Rhinolophus ferrumequinum: one gene and its partners. The protein of the gene in region 1 purifies or fractionates together with the protein of each later gene. This does not show direct contact. Links are inferred from orthologs where the notes say so. Each region holds a gene or a part of one and is shown in the gene's direction. Other genes may lie near its edges. The genes, in order: CUL1, FBXL5, FBXL15 and GLMN.

What was found.
Region 2: the proteins of CUL1 (region 1) and FBXL5 purify together in Homo sapiens (affinity purification with western blotting; 11 studies listed by BioGRID and IntAct, counting the BioPlex papers as one, with this or other methods). This does not show direct contact. The link is inferred for Rhinolophus ferrumequinum from reciprocal best matches to the Homo sapiens genes CUL1 and FBXL5.
Region 3: the proteins of CUL1 (region 1) and FBXL15 purify together in Homo sapiens (affinity purification with mass spectrometry; 9 studies listed by BioGRID and IntAct, counting the BioPlex papers as one, with this or other methods). This does not show direct contact. The link is inferred for Rhinolophus ferrumequinum from reciprocal best matches to the Homo sapiens genes CUL1 and FBXL15.
Region 4: the proteins of CUL1 (region 1) and GLMN purify together in Homo sapiens (affinity purification with western blotting; 4 studies listed by BioGRID and IntAct, counting the BioPlex papers as one, with this or other methods). This does not show direct contact. The link is inferred for Rhinolophus ferrumequinum from reciprocal best matches to the Homo sapiens genes CUL1 and GLMN.

Annotation. Positions count from the first base shown.
Region 1 is NC_046309.1:4,750,920-4,758,410, reverse strand, and holds the start of CUL1 (cullin-1), read left to right. Parts: upstream 1-4,480; 5' UTR 4,481-4,622; intron 4,623-4,726; exon of another isoform or gene 4,727-4,836; intron 4,837-4,937; exon of another isoform or gene 4,938-5,101; intron 5,102-7,491. UniProt on the Homo sapiens protein: Core component of multiple cullin-RING-based SCF (SKP1-CUL1-F-box protein) E3 ubiquitin-protein ligase complexes, which mediate the ubiquitination of proteins involved in cell cycle progression, signal transduction and transcription.
Region 2 is NC_046288.1:78,682,106-78,689,972, forward strand, and holds the start of FBXL5 (F-box/LRR-repeat protein 5), read left to right. Parts: upstream 1-4,861; 5' UTR 4,862-4,954; coding exon 4,955-5,038; intron 5,039-7,867.
Region 3 is NC_046299.1:22,595,788-22,602,282, reverse strand, and holds FBXL15 (F-box/LRR-repeat protein 15), read left to right. Parts: upstream 1-3,906; 5' UTR 3,907-4,043; coding exon 4,044-4,096; intron 4,097-4,266; coding exon 4,267-4,420; intron 4,421-4,706; coding exon 4,707-5,212; intron 5,213-5,656; coding exon 5,657-5,846; 3' UTR 5,847-5,990; downstream 5,991-6,495. Other genes in the region: PSD (PH and SEC7 domain-containing protein 1), read right to left, coding at 1-393, 1,627-1,683, 2,893-3,130; CUEDC2 (CUE domain-containing protein 2), read right to left, coding at 6,275-6,421. UniProt on the Homo sapiens protein: Substrate recognition component of a SCF (SKP1-CUL1-F-box protein) E3 ubiquitin-protein ligase complex which mediates the ubiquitination and subsequent proteasomal degradation of SMURF1, thereby acting as a positive regulator of the BMP signaling pathway.
Region 4 is NC_046292.1:69,720,774-69,728,782, reverse strand, and holds the start of GLMN (glomulin), read left to right. Parts: upstream 1-4,993; 5' UTR 4,994-5,421; exon of another isoform or gene 5,422-5,494; intron 5,495-5,916; 5' UTR 5,917-5,953; coding exon 5,954-5,992; intron 5,993-6,418; coding exon 6,419-6,544; intron 6,545-8,009. Other genes in the region: putative RNA polymerase II subunit B1 CTD phosphatase RPAP2, read right to left, coding at 4,070-4,115, 4,831-4,903.

The DNA of each region.
Region 1 (7,491 bases):
AGTTGCAATTCCATATGGTCCAACCTAATAGAACATTACAAGGGTGTGCAGATCGCCCAGGGCAGACCTCAAAAGCTTCATTAATTCATGACTATCTTAGAACAGTGTTTTCTGTCTTATGGGTCCCCAAAGCAAGAGGCTTATGACTTCTCAATATGCAAAATCTGAAACTGGACAGATTAGATTTTTAAATCGTTCCCTCTTCTTCCCTCATTCCCTTCCTTTGCTAACTGCTCTGCTCCTTACATCCTCTGACCCAACCAAGGCCGGTGCCTCCCCTGAGGTCCTCAGGGTTCTCCCCAACTTGAATTACCCCAAACTCTCCATTCTTTAAGAGCTGATTTGTGTTAGAAAGCAGGCAACCTGACTGAATTAGTTAATGCTGATGTGTAAATGACACTTAAGCCCTGTTTACCCTCCCAGAGCTATTTGGGTCTTTAAGAGAGAATACAGGGAATCTGGTTAATTTCAAGCTGTTAAAAACAAGCCCTTTCTGTATTTGTTTGTATAGGCCATTTATAAATCAAGAGTTCAGAAGGTGGGGCTACCCATTCTCTGTTCCCCATCGATACATATTTAGTGACTTTGGTAAGTAAATTTCTGCTTCCTATTTTATATCTAGTTACATTTAACATCATTAAAATATTGTTTATTTGGCATTTGATGGACCAAAAGGAGCTTTGAAAGTTTTTTCTAACGAATTCAAGTAGAGGATTTAAAAACCTGCTCCTTCAAAAAGAATTTATGACTCATTGTCCTAAGTGAAAGAAATCATGGTATTATTTCATCTCTTGCCTGCATCTTTTGAATACTAAGCTGTGAATGACTCTGTATAGTTATAGCATATGTGTAGTTATTTTTCTAAGAGAAACTAGTTTTGCAAAAAAAAAATCCCGCATAATATATATTGCATGATTTGGATTAAAAAAACAAATTTAATTGAAAAATCTGTTTACTTGGATCCTCTTCCTTAACATACACTATTTCAAAACAAATAAGTCTTATTGTAATATGTCATAATGCTAATACCATAAGTTTTAAGGCCATAACATTTAAAACTTTAACAGAAGGAGTGGTTCATTAAATCAATGGTTCCCAAACTCAGGTCACCAGACTGACCTTGGGTAATTATATCATCACCATCATCATCTTCACAATGTTTATTAAGTATTTAATTTGCAACAGCATATGAGATACTATTATCATCCCCATTTTATAGATGAAGAAACTGAGGCACTGAGACATTAAGTAACTTGCTCAGTTACCCAGGTAATAAATAGTAAAACCAGGATATAAACTCTGGCAGTTTCAGGTTTCCTCCCCACCCCTTCCCACCCAATTTTGACTCAGTACATCTGGAATGGGCCTTGGAATCAGAATTCAAGTCCCCAGGTGATTCTGAAGCAAAGACAGGTTTGGGAACTATCGCATCAAATGAATTTACTTTGCACGGGATAGCTAGTTCCTTACTCATGTCTTAGAAATAACAGCTCATATGGCTAGTCAAGTGACGCAGTACCCTTTCACTTCATTGGTAAACACATATGTTTGGACACTCTTCAGTGTTCTTCAGGCACAATGCCGAGGGGTCTGGTGTACTTTAGGAAATAGTGCCTGGCCCAAAGCACAGATCCGCAGAAGGCAACTTCAGGAGGCACATAGAAGGCACGTAGGAGAAGCTGGTACTCAGGGAGAGATCACAAAACCTGGGTAGAAGGTGCAAAGTGGGCTTCCTAGGAGGGGTCATGAGCTGGATTTGGAAAAAGGAGCATGATTTGCGGATGCAGGAAAGGAGGAGGGAACTATTTCTGTTAGGGGAACCAATGTCAGCAAGCACTCATAAGTGGCGATCCAAAGCCGTTATCTGTAGGCCAAATGTAGGCCCAATAGACCTAGATGAAGTTGAGAGATCCTTTTGGAAAGTGGCTGGAAATAAATTGGGGAAAGTAAGTTAGGACAAGATTATTATGGTAGTGCCAAGTCAGAGTTTGGACTGAACCCTGTAAACAATGGGGAGCCACTGAAAAGTTTCAAAGGACAAAGATACAATGATGAAGGTCACTGGAAAGAACCATCTGCAGTCAGTCACTGCACAGGCGGCTGGAAGGGCAGAGATCAGAACCAGGAAAACTACTCAGAAGGTTAAAGAAACAATATAGGTGTGGGGAAATATCATAGTACAGGAGTGGATATATGCCGATTTGGGAGTCAGGTGATGTCACTGACCAAGCTGAGTGATTTGGAGCACATTGTCTAACATCTCCAAGTCTTAGGTTTTTCTCATTGGAAAATGGGTGTGATGATGTCTGCCACCCAGACTGAGACAAAATAAAAGACTTCTCTATGATGGGGACTAGCTCTGGGATGCAAGGTCAGTGGGTCAGGATTTGGAGTCTTCAGGCCCTTATGACTTAGAAAATGTTAGTGTTATCAATAGCAGTAGGGGAGTCAGTGGACCACCACTTAATGGTAGGTGAGGAAAGAAAGGGAACTAACAGTGAGTTTTCAGAAATTATGCTGGAATTATAAAGGAATTACTCTTCACTTAGGAGGTAGATCTTTTTATCCCTATTTAACAGTTACTAGAGCAAAAGATAGTAGTTTGAGTCTGAGTATAAAACAAAGTCTGCCTAAATCTAAAACTTGGCTTTTTGAACTTCATCATATCATTTGGGACTTGTAAAGTTCTATTATTTCACTGGTTTTGGCTAAATAGTCTAATCTGAGACTATTTTGCATTTTGATTCTGACATCTATCAAATTAATGATCCCTCCTAACTGTGGTCATCTTAAAAAGGGACATCAGTTTTGCTATGATGGCGGAGAAAGATGGAGGGAAGAGGTTTTGCAGCGGAAAGTAGATGCCCTGGATCCATCAGGTACGAGGCAAGAGTATCCGCCCAGAGTGGAAGTAGTGTAGATGCAACCTGGCTGTGAAGTGCATAAAAGTCAGTGGAACAGTCTAATTGCTAAGAATGATGATGTAGACGGGTGGAGAGGAGGGGATATAAGGACGTTAAGAACCAGGAATTGAGGTGGTGAGAAGTGGAGGCACAAGTGGACTAAATACTGCCATTAGGCAAAAATAGAAGGTGGCGGAAAGAAATAGTAAAGGGAACGCTGACCCACTCAACTAGTGTATTAACTGTGGGAAGTCACAGACAGGGAGACCATATTGAATGATGAGAGTGGAGAAGACAGGTTAGGGAAGATGGAGGTAAGTTGTTGTCTGAGGAAAGCACAGGTTCCAATAGGCGAAGAAATGAAGATATAAAAAAAGCCATATATGTTCTGTGGAAAGCGCTGTCCACAGGAACAAGTCTTCCATTTTTACCTTCAATCTAGTCTTACCATGTGCCCATAAACAAAGTTGTTTCAATACATCTAAATTTTCTTTTGACTAGGTTGTATAGAAGTATAGGATATAAACCAAGAATTGTACATCCTTGCACAGACTGAGATTACATACTTTGGTGACAAGTGCAGACAACGCAACACTTCTGAAGATATTTAACAGATGTTGACAATAGGCCACATTTCAATAGGAGGAACCACATATACTGGTGGGACATGTCTCCTAAGAGAAGCCCATGTGACTCAGGAAACTGGACTCTGGGGGTGGCCCTCTGCTCAGGGCCTAGGATTGCTACCCCAAGGTGTACCAGAATATCTGTACTGTTTTAGTTTAGAGCAAAACTAAACTAGAGGAAGTTCCACTCATCGTGTCTTTTGCCCAGATAGGATCATTTGAAATCCTTCCTTGCTTGTTCATGCAATTAGCCAGCTCTCTGGCATGTTGTGAACCATGGTACTCCAAGGCCCATGCTTTCTCTCTGGCACCGTAGCAAGCCAGGTGCTGCCAAAGTCTGTATTTAGAGTATTCCAAGTCCCCAACGGTGACAGTTCAATTTCAAGTGAATGCAATTAACTACTTCAGACTACACGTGGAAAAGATAGTGTTTTAGTCACACCTCATGCCATCCTTTTATGTAAATGCTTAAATTCTATCCTTGATTTGTCTTTACAAAGAGTAATGGTAAAGTGATTCTTTGTCAACATTTGCCCCCTCCCCCCCCAAAGAGTTGGTTCAAGTTTGAAGCGGGAAGCGTCGTATAGTTTTATCTTAGAACCGATTCTAAGGAGCGAGAATGAGGCTCAGAAAAGCTCAGGCTTTCAGGTGCTGATGGCTAAGGCCTCAGGTGAACAGGGGCTCCAGAGCGGACTACACGCTTCTCCGACGTCTGCGCCTGCTTTTCAGAGCCACTTGCCCATCTCCGCCGGTCTCATCAGCCAGCCGGGGATATTCTTTGGTAATAGTCCCGGTCCGGGGAGGCACGTTGATTGGGTGTAGTTGTAGCCGTGTTCCAAGTCGGTTCCGGGTGTGTGTGTGTGCGCAGGAGGAGGTGGAGGACCCTCTCCTTCGGGGTGTACTGGGCCACTTTCTCCAGAGGTCCGTGTCCCGAACCTAAAGCGGTGACCCCTCCTCGTTGGGTCGGAAGTGGCGGGAAGCCGGTCGTTAAGAGGCGGCCCGCTGTCGAGGGAGGCTGTAAAACCTGGAGGAGGACCCGGTCCGCCCGGCCCGGGACGGCGCGGGGTTCCGGGCAAGGGGCCCCGGCTTTCAGGTAGAGATCCCCCAGGCGAGCGGAGCCTCGGGCGGCGCGGGACGGGGGACCCCGGGGCAGTGGCCGCGGCGGGCGGGAGGTTTCCGGGCCCCTCCCGCGCTCGGGCTGGTGGGGAGATGGCGGCGACGGTTTCCCGGCTCCCCCGCCCCGGACGCCGATGGCGGTGCGTTCCGGCCCTCCCCCCCCAGCCTCTCCCCCACGGTAGCCGGAGCCGGTGAGGCCGGGAGGGCGGGGAGCCGGGGAGGAAAGGCGAGAGGGCGGAGGTTGCGCGGTGCAGGCGGCGGCGGCGGGAGGAGGGCCGCGGGCGGGCAGGGGAGGAGGAGGAGGCGGGAGCCGTGTCGCACGCAGCTCCAGGCGGGGCAGCCCCGGCGGCTCAGGGACGCAGCCAGACCTTGGCGGGACGGGGATTTAACCGGGGCCCAGGCCCAGCGACCAGGTGGAGACGTCGCCGGGGCCATTACGGCAGCAGGGACATGCGGGTGAGTGTCGCGGCGCCGGGGCCGAGGAGAGGGGCGGCGCAGGCCCGGCCCGGAGCCGCGGTGTCGCAGTGACTGGGGCCGCGGCGGCCGAGCCCAGGCGCCGGGCGAGGCCTGAGTCGCCGAGCCGCGGCGGGGCGGAATGGCGGCCGGGCAGGGGGACTCGTGGGCGGAGGACGCTGGGGGCGGGAGCCGAGCGAGCGGGGCCGGCCCTGAGTCACGGCGGCCGGCTCGGGCCTGGCCGGGCCGCGGCCCCGGACGCGGGCTCGGGGCGGCCAGGCCTGGACTACGCACTGGGAAAAAGCCCGATTCATCGCGCCGGCGCCGGCGGCCTTGTGGCGCCAGCCTCTTTCCCCACCGCGACCGGGCTGGGGCTGCAGAGCTGGGCCGGCGGGCGGCGCTGGGCAGTTCGGCCATGCGCGCCTCGCCTCCCCTCGTGCGGCGACCCCCACGGGGCCTCGTGCCCTTTCCCCTCGGGATCGCTTCCCCCCCGAGCGTCGCGTTTCCCCCGACTCGTGCTCGCCAATAAGTAGTGGGCTCACGCGCCGGGGGAGCCGCGGAGCCGGCCGCTCTGCTTTCCGGTTCCCTGCCCGCGGCTCTCGGTTCCCCGCCTGCATTGTTGCGACTGTGCAGGTCACTATTATTGGGTAATAGTCGTCGTTTTGCTCCGTTCCCTCGGGGGAACGGGCCGGGTAGGCGCGCAGGGATGCGAGTGCAGCCGCGGGACCGGACGGAGCCCCCCGGCGCTCGCGCGTCGGGCCGGGCCCGCGCCGCGGCTTCGGCGCGCCCCCGAACCTGCGCCCGGCGGGAGCGCGCGCTGACCCAGCAGGTAACCCGCGCGCGGCCCCGGGGCGCTCTCTGCCACCTGGGGAGCGCGGCGCACTGTAGACACGATGATGGTCAAGAGAAAGGCACATGCTTTATGAGCGTTCCTGGAGACGAATCTCCAAAGTTAAGGGTTTTCTCTCTAGCGATCCCTGTGCCGAAAATAGGATTCTGTTTTCCGATTGGATGGCTGCTGTTGCTTTTAGTTCGTAATTGGGGTTAGTGGTTAGCGTGCAAATACGGAATTGCAGTTAACTTAGGTATTTATTTGCTCTGTGTAATGGGTCTTCCCCGGGTGACATTAAAACAGTCCAAGTTAGTCGAGTAAATGGTCACGCTGTTTTTGAAAGGCACTTATTGGGTGACAGAGGGGAACTAAAGTCACTTTTACTTTAAGCCCTGAGCTTCTAGGACCTAAACATATCTTTACACTCAGCAGATGGGTGTGCAATCTTAAGTGTAACATTCCCTTTTGTGGCCACCCTGTCCATCTGACTTTCTGAAACCCTGGAGAGTTTGTGTGTTGTGTAGCAAAGGAGAATGATTAAAAAGCAAGAGCAATCATTGGGTTTAGAAAAAAATAGGATATGAGATTTTTTGTTTGTTAAAAAAGGTTCTTGGATATTAGAAAAAATTTTACTTGAAAGTTCTGTTTCTGCTTTCTATGGCAATTGGACATCGTTGCATCACATTTCACATTCCGAAGCTGCAAACACAGGACTGGCTCCCTTTAATTCTATTATGACCATTTTTGGAGGTTTCAGGAGTGCTCATTAAGCTTAAGAAGGTTGGCTGAATTATTCTCTAAAAATGTTTCAACTTTTTTTTTCTCATTGGTGTAATCTTTTAAAAACTATTTTGCCAAAGGAAAAAAAAGACTTTAACTATACTAGAACTTTTAGCTAATTTATGAAATCCACCCTCCTTGTGTAAGATCACAAGCTCAGGTCCTTGCAAGCATGCCCCTCCTCTCCTAATGTACTATCAGATAAAGTATCAAGAGGACCAAGGGACAAATGAATGCCTGAGCTGATACTGCAATTTCCTTAGCTATTACAGCTTCTTGGACTCCTCTGCCTCTTACTGAATGTTATCTTGTGTCTTAATTGTCTCCCGTGCATTTCAGACTATGAGTTCCTCGAAGGGAGGGGATCGTCCTTAGTTATTTTTGCATCCCCAAAGTAGCATAGGACTTGGTCATGGGTAACTCAGTTGTTTTTTGAAGGAGTAAATCTTCTGGAAAAATTCCAACCTAATGTTTGACCACTTCTGATTTTGGCTGCAGAGAATAATCACTGCACTTACACTGGTTAATAAAGAATGCAAGCTTTAAAGAATAAGAAAAGAAAAACAAAAAAGAGGCAAGTTTTATTATAATTCTTATTGTAGTGTTCCAGTATCCAATAGAGGGCCCCAACAGAAAAAACGCTCAGGTTTTCTTGAGCTGTTGCAATCCAGGAAAGTGCCAAGAAAACAAGTTTTAAAACTTGAATTTGCTAACCCCCAGCTGGTTTTAAGGTGTAGATTTTGTCTATTTTTTAAGAAAAAGACCGAGCTCTTTTTCCCGG
Region 2 (7,867 bases), on another chromosome or scaffold:
GCAATTAGTACTGTTGCTAATGATTATATATAATCAAACATTATTTTCCTTTAATAGAATTTTTAAAGATTTAAAATTTATGGCCCAAATTCTTTTAAAATGTATTATTATTAATGAATTTTTATAACTGTAAGAGCACTAGGTGAACATAGTAAAATACTAAAATTGTACCATATTTAAGTACACGGTACTGGGATGGTTCTGCTTTCCATCCCGGAACCCCTGCTCACAATTTTCTGCTGTGTTATTCTAGAAATATGTCCACTTTTTTTTTTAACACAAATGAGAGCATATTTAACAAAGTGTTCTATACATTATTTTTTTACACTTAGTAATACTTAGTTTCACAGTAAACAGATTTATCTTATGTATTTTACCAGATGCATATTTGTCCATTGAATGAATGTGCTATAATTTAATATCTAGTATCCTATTGAGGGACATTAGATGTTTTCAATTTTTTGGTCATTGTGCAAAAGTAAGTTTTATTATATTTTCAGTATTTAAATTTATAAAAATAAAGTAAGGGATTTAGGCAAACTGCAGGCCTACATATATTTGATTTTCAGAGGTCCATTTGCATATAAAGTACCCTAAAGGAAAATGAAAAAAAAAAAAAAGGCACGTAGCATCTGGCATTGCATTTTAACTCAGTGCCTACGCGTATTTTTTCTTTTTATGATGCCATCACCCTACTAAAAACTTTACTGCTAGATCAAGCTAGCCCTGCTGTAGCAGTTGCTGATTGGCTATTTTGACTGACTCAGGATCAAGTCTGGTACTGAGTTAGGACTGGAATTCCAACTGTTTTACAATAGCAACATTCTTTCATTGCTTGTTTTCACAACTAACCCCCTGTTGGGGAAAGTGCTGTAGCACTACTCAAATAAACAGAGTTAAATGCCTTAGAATTGACTTTCCCTGACCAGCAACCCTTTCCACAGCCCTGAAACTAGGGTTGGAAAAGAGGCCTCATGTCATATTTTTAGGTCACAAGGGAATGATTTGGCATCTTTTGTTTTTCCCTGTAGCATGCAGTTTTTCAGAGAGAATGAAAGCAGGAAAGAAGGAGCCATCAATCCACTAGGCATCATACAATGTGGATTTTTCACTGCTCTGTTCAAATGCCTTATCCAGTCTCCTTGTGGTGGCCAATAGTTAGATGGCCTGCTAGGATTCCTTTGCTGTTGTATAGCATAAGAAATCAGAGAGGTAATTAAACCGATAACCTTGGCCTTAATAACAGTTCCTGATCTGCTGTAGTTGCAGTAACCTACAATAATGATACTAAACTGATCAATGTCTTCTTTCTGGGGCTAACGTTTAATGTAAACCAATCATTTATCTGGATATATCAGGTTATTAATTGCTACATTACTCAGCATATGGAGCTAATATTAACAGCTTCTTTCGAAGGGAAGAATGACCCACAGGACTTATTATTTATCACTTTATTTAATTTTGTCATCTTAAACAAATTCCCTGAAATGGCCAGAGTCCAACGTGGCTGTTATTACTGTTCAGCTGACTACACAGATTCAGATTTTAAGTAACACTGAAACTGTGTGCATGGCTTTTTTTGTTGTTAAATACCTATTTAATGTGCCTGGTTCTAGGGGGTACACTAGACACAGACAACACAGACACAGACTGGTATTGGGAAATAAAACATGGTGTATTAAAAGTTAGTTAAAATTAGGAAATTATAGAATGCCATGAACTGCCCTCATTCCTTCTTTCTTTATTCAACTAATATGGAGTGGTAACTGTTGATAGGCATTGTTCTAAATGCTGAGGATAAAACAAAGTACATGTTCCCACGGAGTTCATTTCTCTATATAATTGGACCACCTGAGGTCTGATTCTACATTCTAAGACAGCTGGAGTGAAAGATCAGAATGAAAGAAAGAAATAAAGGGAAAATAAGGAAATGTCCTCTGGGGGATATTATAAAACATTGAGGCAAAGCCCTAGTGAAAGAGCAGAGTGTGAGAAGAAAGGAGAATAGGGGAGAAGAGAGAGAGAGAGATAGAGAGATTAAGGACTTTATCTATATTCTATTAAGCATTATTTCTGTGTGTAAATCCTCATCTCTGTCTCTCACACAACTAACACAGTGCTGGGAGGATATTGTTGAACCTAGATTCATATGGCCCGCTTATTTAGTAGTTTGTTGGACCCTAGGAAATTACCAGAATGTCTTCAAGATTTAGTTTCCTACAGCACCACCTCACAGACGTGTTTTTTGTTTGTTTGTTTTTTAATAATAGTTTACAGACATCACTTGTCAGGTACTCTTATAAGCAGTTCAAATATATTCATTCTTAATCGTCACAACAATTCTGTTGCTCAGACTGCTATAACAAAAATACCATAGTCTAGATGGCTTATAAAAACTGAATTTATTTCAAATAATCATTGGAAATCTAAGATCAGGGTACCAGCATGGTAAGGGCCCTCTTCAGGGCTGCAGACAGCAGATTCCTCCTTATGACCTCACATGGTGAAGAATAGACGAGGGAAGCGAGCTCTCCAGTGACTCTTACAAAAACCATCCATCATTAGGGGTCTACCTTCATGACCTGATCTAATCCTAATCACTTCCCAAAGTCCCACTTCCTAACCCCATCATATGGAGGGGGTAACTTTGAACATAAGAACTTGAGGGGGACACAAACATTTAGTATATAGCAGTATTACCTCCATTTTATATATGAGGAAACTGAGGCACAGGTAAGTCATGTAGCTTACTGAAGGTCATATAAGTGTATCAGGCTAAACCAGAAGTCTAACTTCATCTCCAGAGCCTGCTTTTAACTACGGCTCATATTGTCCGTCAATAAATGGCACACAGTAAGATTAGAAATAAACAGACACACTCTATTGCAAGGTTCTTTCTCATCTTCTTCTACTCCATCATTTATTGGATATTTATCAAACCCCTATGGTGTCATGGAACTGTGATAGGCAATGTGGATATAAGGGGTAAACAACATATTTGGTTCTTGCCCTCCTGGAATTTATGGCCACTGTCAACTGAGCACAAAGAGTCAGGAGGCTCTGGCTAGAAATAAATAGCAAAGATTTATTCGAAGGTCTTGGGGTTTGCAAACCAGCAACACAACTAAGCAACACCTAGAGTATTGCTGAAGAAGTATCTTCTGAAGAAGAAAGAAAAGCTGAGTTCTTACTGAGTTCTTATAGTAAAAAGTACATTCTTGAGAAGAATCAGTCCTGCGTGCTTAGCTTCTGGATTGGTCCCACATTGTAATCTTCCAGATGTCTGGTCTGAATAATGGATGTCAGGTGGTCTGGACAGTGAACATCCTTTTCTAAGTCCTTCATGGGGTAATCAGAGGGTCATCTATGGGATACACACACACACACACACACACACACACACACACACACTCCTACCTTGTTTTATTGTGCTTCGCTTTATTGTACTTCACAGATGTTGCATTTTTTACAAGCTGAAGGCAAGACCCTCCAACAGCAAAAAGATTATTTCTCACTTTATTGCAATATTCGCTTTCTTATGGTGCACTGGATACAAACCTGCAGTATCTCTGAGGGGTGTGTGTGTGTGTGTGTGTGTGTGTGTGTGTGTGTGTGTAGCTCAAGGCATAACGGGAGGGTTCAAAAGTTTAAGTTCCCAGGCTAGTTAAAACAAAAATAGAATGTTTCCTGCCTCAGCCCACTTGATTTTAGTAAATTGGTAGCTTGACAATAGTGACTCCATTTTATTTCTTCACTCTTACCTCACGATTAAGCAGGAACATTAAGCAAGTAATCCTACCCAGGTTCTCAGACTTCCCTGTTTTCTCCCATTTCTTTGTGTATATTAGTCCAGCCAGTGGGGGTTGATCAGGGTGAGTGGTGTCCATCACAAGGGCTCCCTAGGTCTCATGGAGGGCTGGGTTAGGGACCAGGTGACCTGTGGGGAAGCGACCTAATTGAACTTCCTCTTGGCAGTGTGATCTCTTTAAGTATCCTTCTTTCTCTCTGAGCCTGCTTAAAATGGAGGCACGTGTACCAAGGTTCTTTCCGGTACTAACCTGTGATTATTCACCCCCCAACCCCCATCCTTAACCTGGCATTGCAGGCCTTGGGGTGCCTTCCCGCCTCCTTAATACCCAGGAGACGTTTTTTTCTCTCCTTGGAGTCTCCAGAATTGCATGCAGCCCTTCGCCCCAGAAACGGTTGGAGATGTTGGTCTCCTTGGTTTCCGCCCTGTCCCCAGACCCAGACCCTGGCGTCTGCCCAGAGCTGCCAGCTAGAGCTGCCGGCTGGAGCCGCCAGTGTCCGTCTTTGTCACGCGTCGCTGTTTCCCGGTAGGCGGCAAGTTCTTGGAGCCCCCAGTCCTAGTTCACCAATCACTGGGGCCTTTGACCAGCGGGTGGGAGCCCAACACCCGGGAATCTCAGGGAGGCAAAGGGCGGCTCAGGGGGGCCTCAGTCACGCACAGCACAGTCCCCCTGGCACACGGGGCGTCTGGGTCCACAGCGCCCAGGTAAAGCTCTCCGCCCGACTGCGGGCATTGTGCTCCGCCGCCTCGGCCTCAAGGCCTGGTGGGTGTATCGGCACCGAGAAAAGCCCTGAGAGCGCCCCTAAAACGACACCCCGTCTCCTCAGATAATGTGTTTTACGTTGCAAAACAAACAGGTAAAAGACTTGGTTTCTTTCTGCCGCACAAGAAGAAGCCAAAGAATGAAAATAGTGGAGGCGGGAGACGCCAGTGCGACCAGCCGCCGCGCACCGGGTCACGTGGGTCGCGGGGACCGCATGGCGGCGGCCCGCGCGTCCCCGCGTCCCGACTGGCCCGGCAGCCCGGGCGCGCGCGCCGACGGGGCGGGCGCATGCGCAGGGGGGCGCGCCGCCTCTGCCCCGCGGCGAGGGTGTCTATGGAGAGGCGGCGGCCGCGGCTGCTGAGGCGGAGGCTGAGGCAGCGGCGATGGCGCCCTTCCCCGAAGAAGTGGACGTGTTCACCGCCCCACACTGGCGGATGAAGCAGCTGGTGGGACTCTACTGTGACAAGGTAACGGTGTGCGGGGCCTCTTGCTCTGGGCGGCGCGGGCGGAGAGGAGGAGCCGGCCGGGTTCCTGGGCGGCCAGGCCTGCGCCACTGCCGCAGCCCCCGGGACCGCGCCGCACGAATTGCCGCCTGCGTAGCTGTCAGCGCCGCGCTCTCTATCCCACACTTTCCCCGGGGAGCCCGCATCCCCGTCCGGCCGCCAGCCTCCGACGTGCCCTCGGGGCTGGCGGCGCGGCCCTCCCAGCCGGGGGGGCCTAGCACCCGTCGCCCTCGGGGTCGGCTTCTCGCAGGCACGCTGGGGCTCCAGCTGGTGCCCCCTTCGGGAGAGGGGCACCTTCGCTCTCCACTGACCTTCGGGGACTCCAGGTCGGTCGTCACCTGCGGTGGGCTTTCCATCCGCCGGGGTAAGGCCGTTTCCGCAGTTGTTCCCCGCCTCCTCCATCACCAGTGCCCCCTGCCCTACCCACGGCCGGTTTGGGGTCTCCCTAAGTCTTTTTGCAATTCCCATCTATCCTTCTGAACCTCTAGCTTGCCTTCTGGCCGAAGGGGAAGGAACTACCTCTAGCTTATTTTATGCCCCAGCTTTTTACTGGTTTGATTTGGGAGAAAACCCAGGTTTCTTGGTGTAGGAACTAGCGAATCTTCACTCTTCCTTTGTGGTTATTTTTTATCCTTGCAACTTTTACTGTCCTGAGCATATACTCCATGCAGATTTTGTTATAAGACATCTGTTCTCCGTGGGAATTCCTTATGTGGGCTCGAATAAAAGGGGCCTCAGAAAAAGTTGGTTTAACTGTCATAACCTTTTTGGATTCTTAATTGGTGCAACGTAAGCTGAAAAAGCACTTTTGTGGACATAGTTCAGGGCCTTTTGCTGATGATTCTAAAACAATATGAAGATTTCACATTTTTGTCAATTTATGTTGGGGAAAGTCCATATGGATAGCCTGAAAACTTCAGGCAGTTCTGTTTCGTGTAGAAATGAACCAAATAAAAAACATTTAAATAACTATAGTTTAAGCACAGAATTAAACTTCAATGAATTTTCAGAAAGTAGATAGCATTAAGCAGAACCACTGTTAAGAGACGAGAGGTTCCTACAGCCCATTGAGGTGGTTGGAGGATGGCCGGTGTGTTCATTGTTACAGGCTACACTCAAAACCAACAATGTAAAACGCACCCACAACTATCCTTTCCCTTCCTCCATTTTGAAAATTAAAAAATACCTGGTTCATATACAGGTTTAAACACGGCATTCTAGGACAGTGGTTCTTAACCTTGGTTCCTAGTTAGAATCACCCCAAAAGCTGTCCAAAATCCTGATGCCGGAAAACCACTAAAATCAGGATCTCTAAGGGTGGGACCCAGGCATCAAGTACAGTTCACGCGCTGCATAACAACTTTTCGGTCAACTGGGAACAGCATATACAACCTTAGTCCCGTAAGATTATAGTGGAGCTGAAAAATTCCTATTGCCTAGTGACATAGCTGTTGTCCCCAGTGCACTATTCACTCGTTTGTGGTGATGATGCTAATTTAAACAAACCACTTGCACTGCCAGTTGAATAAAAGTATAGCACATACAATCCTGTACAGTACATAATACTTGATAATAATCTACTGTGTTACTGGTTTATGTATTTACTATGCTTTGTATCGTTATTTTGGAGTGTACTTTTTCTACTTATAAAAAAATCTTCTGTAAAACGGTATGTCATGTTACGCCACATTTCTCTTGGTGGCATTATTTTCTCTTGTGCTTGATTTAATCTTGTATTTAATACAAAAACAGGCTTGTAGACTAGGAGTCATGGGGTATACCATATAGCCTAGGTGTGGAGTAGGCTATACTTGGATGGTGTATCTACGTTTAAGTACCCTCTTCGATGTTTGCACAACGAAATCGCTTAATGATGAATTTCTCAGAACGTATCCCCATTGTTAAAGGGCACATGATTGTGTAATTTAAAACTCCCTGGATGAGTCCAGTGTGCAGTCAAGGGTGAGAATCACTTATCCAGGAGAAGCATCGAGAATGGGTAACCCATTAGTTAAGCTGAATAACCCCGAATTTTTGTAGTTTACTGTAGTGTTTTTATAATAGTTCTCTGGCTTTTGAACTTAGTTATTCTGACAGTATCCTTTAATTGCAGCAAAGAAAAAAATTGGGTGGTTTTTTGTTTTCTCAAAATCAAAATGGGAAAATTAGTGAGGACTACTGGAATCTGAAGTCTTCTCTCCATTTTAGATTTGGCAAGAGATAGTCTGGGGACCACCTGAAATTGTTATGGAAATTTTTCCCTAGGAGGTTTGTGATTTTCATTAGATTTCCAAATGATTGATTTTCTACCACAATAGTTAAGAATCGCAACTTTTATTTAGTTATGTACTAGACTCACCAACCAGCCTTATTGTAAATTTTGAAGAAGCTGATCACTAATTCCGTATGTCATTACCTGGTGATTGAGAACATTCGAACAAGTTTTGAAAATACAGTGCTGTTTTAAAAAACAATATTGGAGTCAAATAAGATTATTTTCAGTAGTTAAATGTTTCCTCTCGCATTAACTAGGAAGCATTTTCAATTTGACATAGCATAAGGGAGAATTATCACTAAATCTGAACTAATTAGATGTAGTTAATGAGATTTTGTATATATTCATCAAGAAGATTAAGAGTCCAATTTTCTGAACTGTGGATCAGAGACCAAGGTGATTTAGGGAAGAAGAAAAAAAAAACAACTGCAAAGGAATTCTACATCCGGATTTCTTCTTGATACTACTAGGTAATGGAAATATCTCCTAGTATGTCCTTTGGGAGCTAGGGTGGAAAA
Region 3 (6,495 bases), on another chromosome or scaffold:
CGAAGCGGAATATGACCACGGAGCTCCGGGCCCCTGGAGGGGGCTGCCCAGTGGGTGAAGAGGGTGCCAAGGGTGGGGGAGCAACACGGGGTGAGGGGGGGGCACGCAGGGGCGTACAGGGTGCTGTCACACGTCCCAGTTCCCGGCCTCGGGGACCTGCCACCCGTCGTAGCAGGGAGCCTGTGCTGCCATACATGCTGGCTGGGGGGCTCTGGGGCACGGGGCCTTCGGGGAGCCATCGGCGCGGGCATCGTGGCGGGGAGATGGCACAGTCGCCTTCCGAGCAGAAGCGCATGGCACCCTGGGCCATGCTGGGGCCGGGGGTCAGGCTGGGGGGGCAGGGATGGCGAGGCCAGGCGGGGAGTGAGGGGGCAGCATGCTCTTCAGACAGGTCTGCAAGAGAGGAAGGGGAGCAGGGAGTGAACTGCTGGGGAGTTGGATGGGCAGGAGAGCAGAGAGGAGGGGAAAGCCAGCTGGGGCTGTTGAGCACTAGGGGACTAGCCCACTCTGAGAATATGTCATCATTGGTACCAGCCCTGGGGGTGATCAGGCCTCCTGCTTAGGCTTCTTCCATGGAGGCCTGAGGAGAAACGAACTGTCCCCCCTAACAGGACCCTGGATCCTCTCCTTCTGCCTGGGGACCCTGAGCATCACTCCGGGAGGACAGAGGAAGCGATTTCAGAAGTTGAGTGAGCCCAGAGTCCCTGTGGCATTTTGGAGTTACTTTTGGTGGAGGAGGGGGAAGGCAAGTACCCCGCCCTCTGAACCAAGAGTGTCAGCCATCCATCACTATCATACAGCCATGAGTCCCCCACAGTCCCTCTCTTGGAGGCCCCAATTCAGGCCCCCTGGAAGGAGAGGAAAGAAGAGGGATTATATAGGGACCATGAGGAGCTGAGAGGCATAGGGTGAAGGGGAGGAAAAAGGCCTAAACAGAGGTCACTACCCCTAATACATACATGCTGAATAGGAAAGGGACACTCTTGTTCTCCATACAGGTACACATAATCACGCACACACACATGCTTAGGGACAAATATGTCAGTATACAGTTAAACATATTCACAGGTTACACCTTCCAGCGCACACAGACACAGGCACACACACACATTGCTCAAAGACACACCCTCATACACTCTCATGGTCATAACAAATATGCCTGTAATGGAAAGGCACATGCTTGTTTTACACACACACTGTCATCAAACAGGAGGAACACACAAAGAGATACCCAAATATACACACAAGCCTTCATTCTCTCATGCACAGACACACAGGCATATCAGATACAGAGACCTACTGGTAACAATCACACACAAACACAGATGCACATTTACACACATACTTAAGCAGGGACACACACCCTTTCCCCCAACCCCCACCAGTCTCTGGCCTCTGGAGGGGGAAGCTGCACCAGACCACTCTCCTCCTCTTCCCCTCCCCCCGCCAAGGGTATAACAGATCTTGTCCAGACCAGGAGGGACCATAAAGGGGTAAAGGGGCTTCTGGTGGCAATGCAGGGTAGGGGCAGAGGTCAGGGGCAGCAACCCAGACAGATTCCTGAAGCTTCATTGGGGCCCAGCGTATCCCCAGTGCAGCCCGGACTCGAGCCGCCTCAGTACTCACCGCTGCTCGCCTGGAGCTGGGGCCGAGGAGGCAAAGGAGAGGCTGGGCCAGGCTCAGCTGTGAAGACAGCGCGGCTCCCGCTTGCTCCCGCTTTCTCCAGGCCCGCCCGCCTCTGAGTCCCTCCTCCTCCCCCCTACGCGCGGCTCCCGCAGAGCTAATCCCACCCCCACCCCCCACCCCCGGCCTCTCCCAGGGCCTTGGGCCCCGGAGGCTGCCCCCCCTCTCGACGTTAGGTCCCCGCTGGGCTCTCGCGCCAACCTGAGACCTGCCCCTGACGAAGGGGAGGACATATGGAGCCCCTGATTATGTTCCCAGGATCTTCACGTGCCCCACCCCAATCGTGTCCACGTCCCTTTCGCCCACCGCCCCGTGAGCCACACACAGGACCCAGTTGCTCACGCGTGTCCCGCTGCAGACCCCACGCGTGTCCCTAGGAGGTTGCCACATGACCTGTTACATGCCACAAGGCGCTCCCGCCCCCACGAGCACACGGCCGCGCCAAGCACACGGTATGGGTGTAGACCGGACCCATCCCCTAAATCCAGAAGAGCATCAATTTATGGGAGAGAGATTTAGGGAACACTGCCTCAAAGCCTCCAGGTTCTGAGTCTTGGACCCAGGACACTCAACCCTGACCATAGGTGGGATATTAGTCAGACTTCAGGAAGAACTTCCTTGCTGCCTGAGTTAGGTGTCCCGCCCGTCTGAGGGTAAGAGGTTACGCGGGATGAGGCTGGGACTGGAGGAAGTGGGGGACAGGCAACCCTTGTGCCCTTGGCCAAGGTAAAAGGGGGCCCGATTATTTTAAGAAAGCGCCGCTAGAGTCACTATGGCAACTGCTCTCCTTGGGAAAGCTATGGCAAGCAGATGGTGACCTCGGAAGGAAGAAGGGGTCTGGTCGGGGGGGAGGGGGCTCGAGGTACGTGCGAGGCGGGGGCGCACGGGGCTCACCGCGGGGAGGGGCGGCGCGGGCTCCGCGTGGTGCTGAAGGGGACAGCGCCAGATTTGTCGCACTGCGCAGGCGCAGAGGCGCTAACAAAGCAGGGGAGGGGGAGAAGGCGCGCGGCCCGAGGTGGTGCGCGCCCACGTGGCTCTTAGCAGAGGTCGATCCTTCCAGCTATCCCTTCCCCTAGCAGGCTGAGGAAGAAGGAGCAAGTCCCTCAACCAAGTTGACCCTCTTTGGTCCTTCCTTGCTGCTGGCTTCTCTCTTCTCGCTGCATTGGGGCACGGGGGAATTTGGAAAGAATTCTGGGAAAACCAGGATACCTGAGTTCTCTATCCCGACTCGCTTGGCCCTGGACAAGGCGCTTCCTCTCCAGGGTTTTGATTTCATCTGTAAAGTGGAGTGACAGCACAGACCTGCCCACCTTGCAGAGGTGCCGGAAGCCCTGATAATGAATGGGAAGCAGTTTTCGTTATGAAGAGGCAGGTGAAGCGGTTGCACCAAGGGAGAGCTCAACCTTGCTGGGAGCCAGCTTTCTGCGACAGCAGTAGCTCTAGGCATCCTTCACACCGTGGCCACCGATGGATGGAGATAGCAGTGCTCTAGGGGTTCCTCCCCCGGATTGGACCCAGGAACCAAGACCTGGGCACGCGGTGAGAGGGCGGCGCAGAATCTGCGCTCAGAGCTTTGGGGTGTCACTGCCCCAGGGTGGCCCAGAACCAGACCCCACAACTAAACCCCCAGGCCAACCGAGAAGCAGTACTCTTGGAAGGCTGAGCATGCGTTCTTCTCTGGACTCTAGACCTCCTGGGGAAGGAAAGAAACCCGGCTGGAGATACAGCCCTTTAGGGCCCCCTACGTTTCTACCCGCAAGGTGTAAATCCGTTCCTAATCATCCGGTAGCGGAAGGGGCTGGATAGCTCTGTACTTCACAATTAACTAGAAATGGGAGGTTTGGGCAAGTTGCTTGATGAAGTAAGAAAAATTGCAGCTTCGCCCATTCAATTAATTCAACAATTAATCGAGCACCTACTACGTGCCAGACAGTAAGAGGCTGCATAGTTCCTCCCCTTTTTTCAAAGTCAGTAAAAGCGACCAGAGGGCAGAGGGGTAGGCCCAGAACCTTGGAGTCCTAGCTCCGCCCCTTCTGCGTTTGGCCTTGCCTGCTCCTCCCATCACCACTTGACTCAGAGACAATCACTGGCCCAAAACGAAAAAAGAAGCCTGTCTGTGCTGCACCGTCGCATTCTCTAGCCTCGGCTCTCAAGCTCTGCAGCGGAGAAGGCGAGATCTAATGTTACACCACCGGTCTGTTCCGCCCTTAATTTCAGGATCCATCCTTTCAGATAGGATCCTCAGTGAGACGGCACTCGATTAAATCGGTCTGTCACTACAGCCCAAGGAGGCGGGTTCGCGGCGGCTGCTCCTAGGCCAAAGCGTGAAGACCGTACTACGCACGCGCAATAGACAGCCGATGGAGCCACGGATGGAGCCGTCCGGAGGGGAGCGAGAGCCCGGAGCCGTCAGGTACCGAGCACCGGAGGGGCCGAGAGAAGGAAGGACCTGAAAAAGGGGAACTGAACCAGGGCCGAGCCTGGAGGCCGCTCCTAGCAACCGAGGCGCAGGAGCATAACGGAGGCAGACTCGCAGGTAACAGCGGCCAAGGGACGCCGCCGCCAACGCCCCTTTTCCCGCAGGCTCCTGGACCTGCCCTGGGAAGACGTGCTGCTCCCACACGTACTGAGCCGGGTACCGCTGTGCCAGCTGCTCCGGCTGCAGCGCGTCAGCCGAGCCTTCCGGGCCCTAGTGCAGCTGTACCTGGAGAGGCTGCGCCGCTTCGACGCCGCTCAGGTGAGCCGGGTACTGCCCCCGCCTCCAGCCCAGCCCCCAGCCCCTCTGTCTACTCTGCCCGACCCCTTTGGGTCTCCAGGAATGCCCAGGAAGAGCTCCACCCAGTGGGAAGCACTCTAAGGGGCGAGTACTGGGTATCAATTCGGAGGGCACGTAGGGTCTATCCTGGGAGGGCAGGTGGAGGGTCCCCGAGGGCAGGCTGCTGCTAGGAAAGAACTCCTCAGGGGTGGATAGGCAGCGCCCGCCCCGGGACCAGCTGAGAGTCGAGGTGCCTGCCCGCCCGCAGGTGGGTCCGCAGATCCCGCGGGCCGCATTGGCCTGGATGCTGCGGGACGCGAAGGGGCTGCAGGAGCTGGCGCTGGCGCCGTGTCACGAATGGCTGTCCGACGAGGACCTGGTGCCGGTGCTGGCGCGGAACCCGCAGTTGCGGAGTGTGGCGCTGGCCGGCTGCGGGCAACTGAGCCGCCGCGCGCTGGGGGCGCTGGCGGAGGGCTGCCCTAACCTGCGGCGCCTGTCGCTCGCGCACTGTGACTGGGTAGACGGGCTGGCGCTGCGTGGTCTCGCCGACCGCTGTCCGGCCCTTGAGGAGCTGGACCTCACCGCCTGCCGTCAGCTCAAGGATGAGGCCATCGTGTACCTGGCGCAGAGGCGCGGCGCAGGCCTCCGCAGCCTCTCGCTGGCAGTCAACGCCAATGTGGGGGACGCCGCGGTCCAGGAGTTGGCTCGGAACTGCCCGGAACTCGAGCACCTCGACCTAACCGGCTGCCTCCGCGTTGGAAGCGACGGCGTCAGGTGCCTGGGCCTGGGGTCGGTGGGATGGGAGGAGAGCAAGCACTTAGCCTCTGGGTGGAGGGGCAAGCGGTAGAACTGCGGTTTCTGGAGCTTCCTGCTACCATGGCACCCCCATTCTGAACAGGAAAGACCTCTAGGATTGTCTACACCAGAGAGCCCATAGTTTAAAAACTTTTTTGAACCAGTATTTACACATTGGCAGTATTCACGTACAAAGTCAGATTTCTGGCTTTTCTTCAACCAGGGGAGCAGCAGCTCCCCATTTAAGGGACAGTAAATCTCCGTTTCACTGGAGGCATTGAGTGTATGACCCCATTCCAGATCCCTCCGTCGCGTATGGAAGAAAAAAGTATGCCCTGAGATGGAGGGAGACGGGCTTTGCTGGCTTGCTCACCGTGGGTGGAGCGGTTTCATGCCCTTAGTCTTACCCCGCTCCTCCCCCAGGACATTGGCCGAGTACTGCCCAGCACTGCGCTCGCTGCGGGTGCGGCACTGCCACCATGTGGCGGAGCCCAGCTTGAGCCGCTTGCGGAAGCGCGGGGTGGACATCGACGTGGAGCCGCCGCTGCATCAGGCCCTAGTGCTCCTGCAGGATATGGCGGGCTTTGCACCCTTTGTCAACCTGCAGGTCTGATCCGCCCGCGGATGGGGCACAGCTGGACTGTGTGACGGGGCCTGACTATGAACTGCAGGGAAACTGGATTGTGGGGGCCTCTGGTGAAAGGCCAAAGCCCTGCCCCACCCTGGAGCTTCAAATAAAGAGCTTTTTACCCCCTCCTGCCTGGCGCTGCTGCCCTATTGGAGATAGGGGATGTGAGGTTGGGAGAGAAGGTCAGACAGACACAGTCCCCCAACACCCCAGCTCTGAAGCAGAAATGACCAGAATGCACTCATCTTCTGGGGCCACCTTTACTGTGCAGCTCCAAGAGGAGGTTAACACTGTGGGGCAAGGAGGTAAGAGAAGGGATCAGGAGTTAGGGCGGGCCCTGTGGGGGGGTGTAGGGCTCCTGCATCCCTCTGGGATCTGAGCCTAGAAGGCTCTAGCAGAGTCCGGCGAACACCTCAATGGAAGCGGTATTTTCTGGCTGGCTTGAGGTTGATGTATGTGGCCTTCATCTCCTCGGCCTCAGGGTTCCGCACATCTTTGAATCGCTCCCCCTTGGTGCTCACTACCTGGTTGTCAATGTATCGGATTAGCTTCTTGGGGGCCTGTCGGGGAATCAGGCAGTGAGTAGCAGAAACCAGAAGATACTCGTATCCATTCAACACCCCTAGCAAACCCA
Region 4 (8,009 bases), on another chromosome or scaffold:
CTGTGGTTTAGAAAAACAGCAATCTTCCTAGGAGGGTGGGTCCTTGCCTGGCACCAATGGGTCTCTGTCAGCCTTTGCTTGCCTCATACATTATAGAACACAAAAAGCACAGCCTACCAGATCAAACAATGGCCCTAGGACAGTGGTTCTCAATCCTTGCTGTATATTAGAACCATCTGATGAGATTTTTAGAAAAAGATACTATGCACAGGTCCCATTGCAGGCTCATTAAACCAGAATCTCTGAGTATGGGGCCTGGTTATTGGTGTTTTCTTGAAAGTTCTCCAGATAATCTTAGTGTGAAACAGGGTTGAAAATCACTGCCATAGGACCACAGATACCAACTATCTTGGTGATGTATTTCCTCCTTGTCTGCAGTGGTTTCTACTTGCCTACTAGAACAACCTTTGCTGGCCTCTTGCACCTTGACTTGGTACTCATATCTCAACCTAGAAGGTACACACCTTTTCTCCCTACCTTCACTGACTTCTAAAACCTTCAAGCCAATTCCTTGCCTGGAGCAATGTTTTACAAAAACAATTTGGAGGACTGACACAGGATTGCCAAATAGGAACAAAGAGGGACATTAAAACAAGAATAAATTTATAACTAACACCTGTTCTCCCATAAAGGCCATGCTTATATCAAAGAAGTACAAGGCATGAACACACTAAAAGGCAGTTCTTTATGTTGACTATATTTAACTTTATAAAAATTTTTCTCATTTTGCTGCCTACCAATAAAAGCTATGTCATATACTAAGATCAGTGTACAACCTGCATTAGGATTGCTGATTGAAGAGTTAATAACAGCCACATTCCTCTTAACTGATGGATACCTACAGCTGCTTCCTATGGATAGCCCTGTCTCACAGCTGCCCTCTGTCTGAAACGATGTCTGAAATGAATAGGTAGTGTGGTATACAGCAGCGGTTTTCAAACTTTTTGGTCTCAGAATTCCTTTATATAAAATCTGATAATTCAGTTCGCGAACTCATCCTAGAAAAATTACTACATACCTTATAGCTGAATATCACTAGTCACCTTCAAAGGATTCCCCTTGGGAAGCTAGGCACCGACACCAGCTCCTAGTCCACCCTTCAAAGCAATTTTGGAACTCTTTTTCTGGAATGGCCATCAGAGCTGTTGTCATATTACCCTTGATGTCCTGAATGTCATCAAAATGGCTTCTTTCAATATTTCTTTTATCTTCAGGTAAAGAAAGAAATCACTAGGGGCCAGATCAGGTGAGTAGGGAGGGTGTTCCAATACAGTTTTTTGTTTACTGGCTAAAAACTTCCTCACAGACAGTGCTGTGTGAGCTAGTGCATTGTCGTGATGCAAGAACCATGAATTGTCGGCGAAAAGTTCAGGTTGTTTTCGTCTAACTTTTTCACCCGCCTTTTCAGCACATCCAAATAGTAAACTTGATTAACTGTTTGTCCAATTGGTACAAATTCATAATGAATAATCTCTCTGATATCAAAAAAGGTTAGCAACATCATTTTGACTCTTGATTTGGACTGACGGAACTTTTTTGGTCATGGAGAATTGGCTGACTTTCACTGTGCACTTTGACGCTTTGCTTCAGGGTCGTATTGGTACACCCATGTTTCATCACCAGTGATACCACGGCTTAAAGCATCGTCTTGCCTCTCCAAAAGGTCTTGGCAAACATCGACTCTCCTTTGCTTTTGTTCATTGGTGAGCTCCTTTGGGACCATTTTTATACACACCTTTCTCATGCCAAGATTTTCAGTTAAGATTTTCCTGTTTCTCTATCGATGTTTACTTGGTCTGCTATGCTTCTCAGTCACCTGACAATTTTGATGCACAATTTGATGAACTTTTGCAATATTTTCATCAGTTCTGCTCATTACTAGCCGCCTTGATCTCTCTTCATCAGTGACGCGTTCTCTCCCCTCAGAAAAACATTTAATCCATTTGTACACTGCAATTTTCTTCATAGCATTATCCCCATAAACTTCGACTAACATGTCCCTGATTTCACTTCCACTCTTTCCAAATTTAACGAGAAATTTAATGTTTGTTCATTGCTCTAATTCAAGCACAGACATTCGCGAGATGGCACACAAAAACATGCAACAACAATAATGAATGCCACTTAGCAAGACACCGCCACACGTCGACATGAACACAGCTGTGAGACACTGATATACTAAAGTTATGAAACCTTACTGAGCTCTTTGTACAATGCTGCCAATGTAAGTGCATAGTGGCAAGTTCGCGAACTTAACTGGCAGACCTGGTACTTTTAAAATTCGAGCTTTTGCTTATGTACATTATATTTACCACAGTAGGATTAAAAGTGAGAAAATTTTAAACCATTTATTTATTAATTCATTTAATAATAATATACAATTTACATGTTAACATTTTGAAATAAAAATTTAGTGTCGGGGCGGCTAGATGGCTCAGTTGGTTAGAGTGCGAGCTCTGAACAGGGTTGCTGATTCGATTCCCACATGGGCCAATGAGCTGCACCCTCCACAACTAGATTGAAGGACAACGACTTGGAGCTGATGGGCCCTGGAGAAACACACTGTTCCCCAATATTCCCCAATAAAAAATTAAAATAAAATATTTAGTGTGAATAGTGGAATTATTTTATATTTTTGCAAAGTTCTTTAATTTCTGGCTTAAAACTATTCATTTGGATTGAATATAGAAGTATTTTGCAATTGGAATAAATTTATAAAGGATCGTTTCCCTCAACAACTATTTGGTTACCCCATGGATTTTTAATTGTTTCATCATCTTGAATGATCTGCTCAAAATAAAATATAATCTCTTCAGGTTTGTGGTCAGATCAGTGTTGAAGAAAGTTGCAAATTACCATCATTATCAATATTAACTAAACTCACTCTATTGTGGTGGTCTGAAACTGAACACGTACTACCTCCCAGGTATGCCTGTACTTTCCAAAACAGATCTCCAATTCATCCAATTTCTCCATTCCCAGATGATCACCTCCCCTAACACCTTAAAACTTTTTAAACTTAAATTCCATTACTTTATTACTTAAAGTTTTTCCATTTGCACTTAGAAAATCTAAATTTCTCACCATTGCCTATTAGGTCTATATGAATGGAATCCTGCCTCTCTAACCTTTTCCTATGCTCCTTACTTCCCTTGCTCAGAATGCTGGCACATCATCCTGGGCATCTCTGCTTTCTTTAAATGACCGTGCCTTTCTTGTCACACGTACTCCCACTTCTGACTATAGGTCTCTCCTTACTACTCTTTGATTAATGTCTACTTAGCCTTCAGGACTCAGCTTATTCTGTTCTCAAAAGTCCTTCCCTAAAAACCCACAAAACTCCAGCTAACCTGGACTCCTGTTACTCCTCCTCCTTTACAGCACTTATTACAATTTGTAATTATATATCTATTTTTGATAATTTAATTGGTATTTCTCTGTTCAACTAGTTAACTATGTCTATTCTGTTCAAAACCATATCCTTGGGGCCTAATACAAGTCTGGTATATCTTACACTCAGTAAATATTTTTGAAAGATTAATTGAATTAAGACAAAGCCAACACTTCATAAAATGATGTATCACAGGTATGTATTTTTTAATCATCTCAGACTACTCCTACTCTAGAAACATTTTGTGACAGAAGATAAATCTTGTCTTTTTAGAAGCCAAGAGACAATACAGGACAACTTCTTGTTGAAAATTTGGACATGATACAAACATGGGACAGACAAGGCTTCTTGGAGTCTCTAACACATAAAGCAAAAAAAGGAGTATACAAAGAGGTGGAAAAAGAGTACTTGGTTAATTCAGGAACGTCTATTCCCATGTACACCTTTCTACAGATACTCATACACCTTCACCAGCAACCTAAAAATGTCTGATTTGGTTTTCTTAAAGCATGGAGTAGGGGGATATAACTGTCTATGTGAGAATTTATAGTGCTTTCAGATCTTCCCCTTCTCATAATAAATTTCTCTAAGGTAGCACCCATTATTGTTTTTAAAAATGGTTCAATTAATATGAGATAAACAGCTAAGTGAATGCAGTTGTCCAAGTAGTTTTCATACCTTTTAGAAGCATCTTGCTGTTTCAAAGCACCTGTCTGTTTAGTACCTAAAATTAAAAAACAAAGTTAGTCAAGTCTGCACACATTAGGTTATAGAACAGATTCCTGCCCAAATAAACTGTATATCATCTTTTCTTCTTTTCCACATATTTAAAATGAAATGGGAAGGGAATCCAATTTGTTTTTGTAAATTAATTATTCCCAAATTTTTCCTGGTTAACATGTATCTCCTTCGGGATTGAATTTTCTCCTGTATCATAGATGCATACTTAAGCACTCGTGAAAAATCTGAAATCTGGGTACTTTTAGGGGAAGCCTCTCTCCGGCCCTCAAATGTTCACTCCCTGGCAAGAAGGGAGGTGATTCTCCAATACCTCAGAGAACAGGGGCACCAAAGCCGCAGGACAAATGGAAGGACCGATGGGAGGTTCACCGGCAGCCGCACACCGCTGGCTGATGCCGCCCTGCTCACTTGCCCATTCTGGCGACTCCAGCTCTAGGCTTCCAGGAACTCTACTGTCCTTTCCCTCAGAGGCCATCTGGGGGAAAATCTTGGAACGCTAGTGTAAAGATTTGGGGGTTCGGCCGAAGGTCTTTCCCAGGGGGCGCGAGGACGGCGGTGGGAAGCTCTTGGCCTTCTCCGTCCCCGAAGACCTCCACCCCCGAGAAAGCTTTTCGGGAGCACCCCGCGCGCCTTAATCTAGAACCCTGTAGGGGCTCAGTTCTCGGGGTCAAAACGTGGAAAGAGGCTCTTTTGCCTACCTGCGGCGTTTCGGCGGGGGCGCGGGGCCCCAGCCTTGCGGCCCGCGGAGGGTTGCCAGGCCGACTCAGCCATGGAGAGCGTCGTCCGACTATCGCGTCCGACCCTAGAGTTTCCCCCTGAGGCTCCGCCTCCCCTTGCGCAGCGCGGGGCGGGGCCGACCGGAGTGGGGCGGGGCTCGGAGAGCGGCCTACGCGGCCAGAAGAGGAGGTGGAGGAGGACGCTGAAAGGGGCAAGAGTCCTGGCGGGTAAGTGGACGCAGCGGGAGGTCCCGGACGGCGGGGGCTCGCGGCGGGCCTTGAGCCGCGGAGGATGCGGTGCCGCCGGCCGATTAGGCCCGGCGAAGTGGTGAGGCCCGAGCGCCACGACTAGCAGGAATCAGGAGAAATGGCTTCCCTTGGATGCCGCCCGCACGCGCGCTGGGGTTTTGTCCGCCCTGGAGCGCGCTGCGGTGAGGACCCCCGGACCCGCGCGCCCTTCCTGCGGAGCTGGTGCCGGGCCTTCAAGCTGGGAGAAACGATGGCCAGCGGGAATGGAACGGGGTTCTCCTGAGCGCCGCCGGTTGATCTCACTGACTGGATTGATTATTTTGGGTACTTCATTTCTTAAGGGAAATGTCCTGGTCACACAGGGGCTGGAGGGCATCTGAACTTCCACCCATTCTGGGTGAGTTGTGTTGACTTCAATTTTTGTCAAGTAGGACATTAAAAAATGAGAAATTCCCTGTTGATTAGAATTGATTTTAGGCCCACCTTTTGGAAATGTTTTCAGAAATGAAACACTTTGCCTTTTCAATGCACTTTGTGTAGTCCCTATTTGCCGTCCTTTTGGGAGTGCTCTAGAGGTTTTTATTTTCGGATGTATCTTTCAAAACTACACTAAGCAAAGCTGTGTTTAAGAAAACTTGAAAAGGTGCAATAGTTTTTTTTTAAATAAACTTTTCTTAGGTTAACAGACTACTTTTAGTAGTAGCATTTCAGCATTAAAACTACATTTTCTTTATTGTATTTAAAAATTCATCAGAATGAAATATCACTTATTAATACTTAAATGTAATATTTCTGATAGTTAACTGTGTTTTATGTTAGTACATTTCAGTCTCAAAGCTAGGAAAAATAAGGAGGAATGGCTGTGGAGGAACTTCAATCCGTAATAAAGAGATGTGTAAGTAATTTTTCTTTTTGTAAAGTTAAATATCTTTCAAAATATGAGAAGGGCATAGATTATTTTTAATTATATTTGTAGTCACTCGAATTGTTTATCTTCTTTAATCCTTGCTTTTTTTGACCTATGTATAAATAGTGATAGGGCAGGAAGGCAATTGGGTTATTTCTCCAAATGACATACTTTTCTAAATAACCTTTAAAATTTTTAATCTTAATCCTTATTAAAGGTTTCTTTGATATAGTGGATTTCAGGATCATTCACTAAAGTATTTATTAGGCTAATCCTAATTTTCATACGTATGTTTATGTGTAACTTACCTACAATTTAAACAGATTTCCTTTTTTTCAGAGAGAAAATATATCAAGTCATTATTGAATTTTTATTTGCCTAAACATGTTTGGTTTTTGTTTGTTTGTTTGCCAGCAAATCCTAGAAGAGCGAGACTTCAAAGAAGAAGATTTTGGTCTATTTCAGTTAGCAGGACAAAGATGCATAGATGAAGGGCACATAGACCAGCTATTAGAAATTATTCAGAATGAAAAGAATAAGGTAAGTATAATCTTTGTGCAAACTTTTCAGCCTTTACCTGGAAGAGAATATCCACACGATGCTATTATTCATCCATTCATTATCCATCAAACATTTAAGAATCAACTAACTTAAATTTCCACAGGAGGAAACTAGAAACAAAAAAGGAATTGGGACTATATACTTTAAGGTACTCACAGTCTGGTGGAAGAGACAAACATGTAAACAACTAGCATTAAGGAGGCAGAATGAATAAAATAAGTGCTATAGTTGAAGTATAAGTAAAGTGCTTTAGGAGAGCAGGGATTACATCTGGTTGAACCATCACAAGTAGCATTTGGGTCACGAATTTACCTTGAGAAATATAAGTATCAGGCAGGCTAGGTATTAATTTTTGGTGATTGCACATTCTGTTCCTCCAGCCAGAAGTATATAGAAAACCAAATATTAAGTAAGATAACATTTTGGGTATATAATATTTTGAGTAGATAAAATCAGAACGGGAAAGCTGAATGACTTGGCCAATATGATCCAGCTACGAATGTCTGATAAATCATTCTCTGCGATGGGAAAGGATCTTTTGAGGATCAGAAACAGCTTTTTCTCAGAAACATGTTGGCAACACTGCCAAATTTTGTGTCTTTGGACTCCGCTTCTTGTACAAAGGAGGAGCATCTTCTTTTCCAGGACACACTTTTTCTTCCTTTATGGTGCTATTTATTTCTACAGAAGTTTTCTTTCTTGCTATCACAATCTAGACGTGCTGGTCAGTGATTATATCCAGGATACCTTTATTGTGTTTGGGAAATTACTAAAACTTTTAAATCACACATTGTTGTAAATTCTCTTAGTAGTTTAAAGGGCCAATCCCTTTTTTATTTAAGAAAATATTTTTAGAAAAATTAGGACATTTGTTTAATACATTTGTTTTTGGTGTGTTTATGGTACCTTTGTAGCCCAAAATAAAGTAAATTTAATGTTTTCTTTAATTCCTTGATTTTTTCCAATTGCATTCTCAGAGGATAACCTTTCAAAGTACCTTACTTTTAGCTAGTAATAATAAAATTAATAATAGCTAATATTTATTGAGTATTTACTATGTGTCAGATACTGTCTTAAGTGCTTTACATCTGTTAACTCATGTAGCCTCTCCAGAATCCCATGATGTACTACTGTTAAATTCATTTTGTAGATAAGGAAACAGGCGCTGAAAGATAAGTGACTTGCCCAAAAGTAACAGATTTTATGCGGCATCCAGGATTCAGACCTGTGCAGTTCGGTTTTAGAACTTTTATCCACTCGGCTCTGCCTCCAGTGAGCACGATGTAGCACTTGCATGGAAGGTTTAGAGTAGAATAGAGGGAACTCATTGATTGTGGGGGTGAGAGAGAGTGAGACATCAAAGATGGCTAGGTTTCTAGCCTCTGAGAGGGTAGAAACATCCCAAACAGAAAACGGCTACCTAAGAAGAGAAGTTTCCTAAAGG